Daphnia pulex: one gene and its partner. The protein of the gene in region 2 binds, or shares a complex with, the protein of the main gene of each other region. Links are inferred from orthologs where the notes say so. Each region holds a gene or a part of one and is shown on either strand. Other genes may lie near its edges.

What was found.
Region 1: the proteins of DNA topoisomerase 2-binding protein 1-A-like (region 2) and Fanconi anemia group J protein homolog are in contact, whole or in part, in a crystal structure (PDB 3AL3), measured with the Homo sapiens proteins. The link is inferred for Daphnia pulex from reciprocal best matches to the Homo sapiens genes TOPBP1 and BRIP1. Residues at the interface, in NP_008958.2 of Homo sapiens: Leu1272, Ser1273, Ser1274, Leu1275, Asn1276, Pro1277, Arg1280, Gln1298, His1311, Leu1313, Arg1314, Asn1315, Glu1316, Lys1317, Leu1319, Gln1366, Arg1407, Gly1410, Phe1411, Leu1414, Thr1466, Glu1467, Ile1469, Ala1470; in NP_114432.2 of Homo sapiens: Ser1129, Tyr1131, Phe1132, Thr1133, Pro1134, Glu1135, Leu1136, Tyr1137, Asp1138.

Annotation. Positions count from the first base shown.
Region 1 is NC_060028.1:9,966,537-9,970,364, reverse strand, and holds part of Fanconi anemia group J protein homolog, read right to left. Parts: coding exon 3,804-3,828; intron 3,654-3,803; coding exon 3,564-3,653; intron 3,405-3,563; coding exon 3,278-3,404; intron 2,202-3,277; coding exon 2,118-2,201; intron 2,028-2,117; coding exon 1,829-2,027; intron 1,768-1,828; coding exon 1,700-1,767; intron 1,629-1,699; coding exon 1,195-1,628; intron 1,120-1,194; coding exon 831-1,119; intron 727-830; coding exon 500-726; intron 438-499; coding exon 150-437; intron 56-149; coding exon 1-55. UniProt on the Homo sapiens protein: DNA-dependent ATPase and 5'-3' DNA helicase required for the maintenance of chromosomal stability. Acts late in the Fanconi anemia pathway, after FANCD2 ubiquitination.
Region 2 is NC_060022.1:4,608,883-4,611,691, forward strand, and holds the end of DNA topoisomerase 2-binding protein 1-A-like, read right to left. Parts: coding exon 2,651-2,809; intron 2,589-2,650; coding exon 1,135-2,588; intron 1,066-1,134; coding exon 852-1,065; 3' UTR 738-851; downstream 1-737. UniProt on the Homo sapiens protein: Scaffold protein that acts as a key protein-protein adapter in DNA replication and DNA repair. Composed of multiple BRCT domains, which specifically recognize and bind phosphorylated proteins, bringing proteins together into functional combinations.

The DNA of each region.
Region 1 (3,828 bases), on a different chromosome or scaffold from region 2:
AGCTCCCCAATCGGCTTTGTGTCTGATACAGCGTCCTAGTGCTTGATTCAATGCCCTATTTCACAAACAAACAAACAAACAAAAAACCTGTACTATTTGATGGAAAAGTAATGGATAGACCGAAAGATAATTTGAAAAGAAAAACTAACCTGAAGGCTTGGATCTCGTACCACTCACTTCCGTTGAGTAACGGTGTAGAGGCGGACAATTTGTCATTGTATTGGCGTTTCAATTCGACTTGAGTATCTTTGAAATTTGGGAAAGGGATTCCCACACAAATGACGGCCCGGGCATTGTTATCGGTGAAGTCAAGTCCTTCGCTGACTTTGCCTCGACATACGGCCAACATCAGAGCGCCGCTGGGTACGTCACCAGTTTTTTTGCTCGGGCATTCAGACCCATCACCCGAGCCGTCCAAGTCTAAGCAACTCAGAGCACTAATAAAAAAAACACAATTTTTATTCATTGAAATATGGAGAAAGAAAGTAGGCTGGTTTACTTTACGCTGTCTTCGATGGCCGAGTAAAAACTCTTGAGCGTTTCCTCAAAGTCGCGTGAATCTCGCGACTCGCAAACGATGGTTTTGTAATTGGAAAGGTGTTGCCATAGACCCGTGTCCTGCCATCGAGTGACAAGCTTCTCCAATAGACTGTAAGAGGGCAGGAAGCATAAAACACCGTGCGGAATCGTCTGGCAGACGGACAAAGCCAACCGGCCGAGTTCATCCTTGAGTGAAAAGAGTTGGACGGTCAGAAACGTCAACTGCCGTTGCGTAAACCACACCATCGCGGGTACAACATCGGAGAATAGAAAATAAAGAGGAGATTTACCTGATATTCAAAAGTCCCGGTCACCTTGAATGTCCCGTTGAGCAGAGTGTTCCTAGGCCCCTGCGAGATGGTCCCTATCCACACACGTTTGGCTGGAATGACATGATTGGCCTCCAGAGTGAGCTTGAAATCGATATCGAGTTCCGACTGATAGGAGGCCAAGGGTGACAGCGTGCCCGATGTGACGATGATAGATCGCGTACTCTCTTTGATTTCATGCATCACGACAGCCGAATTGAGACACCATAAATTGAGGGCGTATGTCCACTGCGAGGCGATGTTGGCTTTCCTGAAAAGTCCATTTCCAACAAAATAATTGATTGCAAAGTGAGGCATTTTACAACGTCTCCTGGCATTGACTCACCCGAAAAATGACGATCCAGGTCCTTTTTTCTGTTTCCTCTCGACAGTGCGAACGACTACGGCCCGGTAGTCGTCGCGGTGAATTTGATTACCGTTCAACATCAAATCCATAATCATGAGGAATCCTTCGAGGAGAGTTTGAGTGGCACCCGACAATTGTGGATCCTGGCTGCCCTCTTTGTCATTCCAATCCGACTCGAGTTGCTCGTTGAAGATATAATCGATTATCGCCTTGAGTTCGACCAGCATTTCGGGACCGTAGCCGTCGACGCTCAAATTGGCTACAAATTCCGTGCCGGTCATCACGTGAACTTCCCGGTCGAAGCCGACACTCTTCATGTTCGTGGCGTGTTTGCCGATCCATTGCATCATGTAAGACGAGAATTTGGCCAGTCTATTGATTTCTTTTTCCATCGTCGGGTGCCGATTACCGATCTACTCAAGACACAGAACGGAAACAATAGGGGGATGGCCCATCAAGCATTCAATTTTTAAGACTTGTTTACTTTCTCGCAGTCATTGAGAGCCAAGCGAAAATCCTCTTGTGACCAAGAACCTCCAGCTGATTCGCGCGCTGTGAATGTATTAAGTACATAAGCATTAATGCTTAATACATAAGAATTAATGCTTAATACCAGAATCCTCGATGTTATGAGCCTCGTCGAGAATGATGATATTGTCATTAATTGGGATCTTCATCGACTGACGTACCCTCGGATCAATCAGGTAATTGTAAGGGCTAAAGACGATCTGCGCTTGCTCCGACAAGTCGCGCGAAGCGTAATATGGGCAAACCCGAATGCGACGGCCTAAACTCACCAAATCTTCGATATCCTAAACATCAAACAAAATAATCCCCCGCAAAAAAGGAAAAAATCATTTTCATTTGAATCACCCACAATAATAAATTAAAAATTGACTTACCCAACCACTGACCAGTCCATAGTTACGAATTTGAGCTTGCGTCTTGAGCTTGTCTTTGCCTTGCCAACGGTATGAACAACCACCCTGTACAGAGTTGAGGAAAAAAAAAAGAGAAAAATGGACTCATTAAAGTTCCAGTGTGAGTGGACAACTTGTCAGGAATGTCCGCCAAGAACAATTCGACCAGTGTTCCATCGCACAGTTCAATGAAATGAGACTAGAAAAATTGTGGGAAGCATGAACTGAGTCAACAACAATGGTCACTTTGTCATAGGGACGAAAAAAAAAACCTTTCGGAGAAATGAGCGGATCGTCTCGAAAGATACGGAGAATAATTGTCATCATAATGAAAAAAAAACAGGACAAAATGTTTGGCTCACATTACAAAGCGCTGTCGAATCAAAAAAATGAAATAAACCGAAAAATAGGGGGAAAAAGAAGGTGGAGAGAAATATCTAAATACGAAGAAAAAAGTTGCAGGGGGGTTATAATACGAATGCCGCTTTTGCGGTGATTACTACGGTTGGATAATGGATTGAAAGATAGGATTCATTACGAGAAAACGAGACCGCCTTCAAAGAGGCAAAAGAATCAACCCACCAACCATTCCCCTCGTTTTCTTCTCCTTTTTTTCTTATTGAATGAATGAAAAGAAGAAATACTAGAAATGAAATTTTTTTCATGAAAATAAAATAAAAAAAGGGGGAAGTAAAAATTTGATCTTGAAAGCGTATCATGTCTCAACGTCGGCGTCTTGAATAACCGGATGGTTTCATGGCTCCTCCTTCTTCACTGTCTTCTAATGACGGGCAATTAAACTTGAAACCAGTCATTTTCATTTTTTTTTTTTTTTTTGTTATCCCCCCACCCAAGTTCTTTGATCTCATTTGATCGTATTTGACGCTCGGGCGATCACGATCGTTCTTTAAATGGCAAAACAAGTTGAATGCGTGATTCTCTTGGCTGGCAGGTAACAGGTTGATGGCGAACAGTTGTTACCGAGGAGGACGAGATCAATTCTCGGAAATCATTAGATAGATACAAAAGAGGTATACTACACTTTTACGGTGTAGCTTGTTCGATTTCCCTTTTTCGCTGGAATCGGGGTGGGGAAGAAGGTCGCGCAACGAGAGACGAGGAAATTAATTACGCGCTTTTACCTTCTGCTGCGGATCCTGTTTGGCCAATCGTCGGTCATTTAGTATTTTGCAACCTTCGTTTTTGTTGGCGGAACGCGACACTTCTGGATGGATGCAGGTGTGTTCCCTGCTGGCCAGCACGCCCATCCTGTAAAATTTCGATCGACAAAGCCAAAGTCGAATGGAATGATAAGAGAAGAAGAAAAATATCTGTCTCAAGTCTTAAGATTTAAGAAGGAAATTCAAATGAAGGTAAGCTGGGAGAGGGAATAAATAATAGCTGTCGAGGGCATCGTGTGTGACTCACGGAGTATTGCAGTAGACGGTGCGGCGGAATTCTTTGACCACTTGAGTGATTTGCTTGTGCGTCCGCGTTCCAAAAAAGATCTTGGGAATCCTGGAATGGATGCGCAAGAGTAAACAAGCTACTGAGTTGAACGCGCCATTCCACACACACACACACACAGAAAAAACAAACAAACAAACAAACAATCGCATGCGATTATCTCGATTTGTCGGCCCTGACAAAGCGGGCTACTGTACGTACTTTTGCTTCCGTTGAATGAACGGCT
Region 2 (2,809 bases):
CAACACTGTTTCACGCTTTAATTTCTCGTTTTCGTCTGCTTTGGTTTCTGAATTTAGTTGATTTAGTTACTGAAAAAAAGGTCTCAATCAAAATCAAACCAGTCAATTCAGTAAAATAATGAAATAAAAAGATAATTTTCTCTAACGATAAACCTTCACAAGAATCCTAATTACGTAAGTTTATAATAGAGTTAAATCTTGCTTTGATACGTTGCGCAATCCAAAAAATTATTGCATTTGCACTACTCATTATCTTTTAATGTAATTCATGTAGAGTACTGAAAAATGTAACAGTTTTAAATATTTTTACAGCAGATTCACGATTGAAATGGATGCATTGAGAAAAATTGTAAGACCCGTGTGCAGCAACCTGCAACAACTCTTTATGTTTTCACCTGCTGTTTTCCCTGTGACAGTGTCAAGAACATTTAGTGCATTATCAATGAGAATTCCCCAAACTCTGAATGTGCAAAATCAACTGTTAACTCCTACTGTTCCTTCACTAGTTCCTAGTTGTGGATTCAAAGTTGTGGGGAAACCGATGAAACGTTGCAAAGACTGCTACAAAGTGGTGAGACAGGGAAGGGTTCATATCATTTGTAAAACTAAACCAAGGCATAAACAAATGTCAATGAAGAAAGATGAAGACAAAACCTGGATACTTACATCTGCAACAATGGGGCCTAAGCGTCTTTGGTAGTTTTGTCATCATTATGTACTAGTTATCAATACAATTCTGCAGGAAACTAGAAATGATTGTATTTCATGGACTTATCTAAGTATCTTTAAACATTTTCTTAAAAAAAAAAGGTATTTTTCACATTAGATTATTCAAATAAAAAGAAAGATAGTTAAGAAGAAGGCATGTTTTCGAGATAAGGAAGAAATTCTTGTAAAACAGACTTGCTCCATTTTAACTTCTTGTCAGTAGCCAGAACAAGATTTCTGAGATAAATCAATGGAACGCAATAAATGCCTCTATTGGCAAACGATGACAACTGCAACTTTTTCGCTTCGCGAGAATCCAAAATGCACAAGTTCGTCTTCTTGTTTTCCAAAGCCGAACTAGAAGAAACGTATAAATAAATGAAAATAATGAATGAAAGAAAACTCTGAACATCCTTATTATCATACCCTTGGTCAACCACCTTTCCGCCACCAGCTTCAAGTAAACGCTGGAAAGAAGCATTTTTCTCGCGAAGGTATAAAACAGCGGTAATTCCGTGAAAAGGGCCACCAGATACTCCTTGACTGCGATTAATACGCCAATAATATGCAGCCGCAGCAATGTTAGCTTCGTCCTCGGTAATGGATTCGGATTCTGGGTAATCCACCGTGGCTTCTGGATTGCCCCATTCAAATTTAGCTTCCTCAAGGAAACGTTTTTCTTTTTCGCTTTCAATCAGCCATTCTGGATGAAGGATCCATTTTCCAGCAGCGATCGACGTCAACAATTTTTCATTAGATCCAACTTTGGCGACGACAAGGTGAGTACACGTTGGGTCGTATTGGTTGGATTCAAGAACGGTTCCTCCCAACTCTTCGATAACAGCAGTACAGCTTTCACGATCGTCTAGTGCCATTCCAGAGAACATGACACGATACGTCTGAGTATTGTTTAGCTGTGAACCGGTTGGCTTTTGTGTCTCGTGAAGATCCCACACAATTGGAGCAGATTGCGAATCTACCGTTTCCAGAGGTTGCGTTGCGGGAACGAAGACGTGTTCAGGTCCTCTACCGTTTCTAGCCCCCGAAACGTTTGTAACCTTTTGCAGAGGAATCTGCTCAGCTGAACGTGATAGCACTTGGTCTAGTTGCAAAAGTTCTTTGCATGCTTCTTCCTCTACGTCTGGGACGACAAGATTCTCTTGTTCTTCATTAGTTTCAAGAAGGTCGTTTTCACGTGGCTCACTATCAGATGATAAGCGCTTACGGGAAGGAATTCTAGGAGTACCCGTTTCGCTGGAACTGGCAGGAAGGCGTCGCTTCTGGGTACAACTAGACGGCGGTGCAGGTTGCGAATTGAAATTCAGTGACAAAGCCATTTTCGGATTCAAAGATGGTGGATAATGCGATTCTTCTAGACGATTCGAAGTATCTTCACAGTCTAGGATCCATTGTGGTGAGACAAATTTCTGGTGCCAATCTTTTGCGCTTCGAATCTCTTTGGATGCAGCTAGCTTGCCCTGATATATGAAATGAGTTACCTCCTCGCAGTGTTGGAAACGAACCTTGCCACCCAGATTTTCAACTGCTTTTACCAACTCGGTTCTTTGGTCTTCAACTTTCTTGTGTATGAATGCCACCACTCCATGAAAAGGTGGCTTTGGTGGTTCTAAGGGTGATGCTGCCGCTGAATTTTCCTCATCCGGTTTCCACATGGCTTGTGCTTCAACTCCACTTTCATCAAGACGCAATTTTTTCCGTAAATTCAAGAAATAATCCGAGTCTTCGGGGGAAACCACAATTTCTCCTTTCTGAATATCTTGTGGGGTAACGTTAAGGGATTCGTCCGCGCGAGGCGTCAAACGAACTCGATTTTCCAATGCATGTTTCCACAATTTTCGAGTTTCGGGTGACGGGTCCGTCTACAAAGAAGAAAAATGCTGATTCCTTTCTGACGATTAAAAATTACAAACTAAAACATTACGTTTAAAAGCCTTCCATATGGTGTATCGGGTGTAGGCATGTTAAAAAGAGATGGTCGAGCTTGAGGTGTTCTACCAATATTATTTGCACTAAACGGATTCTGTTGTAAACACGTAGGAGTGTCAGAGACAGCCGGTCGTGGTGGCATGGTAGGAGTCGC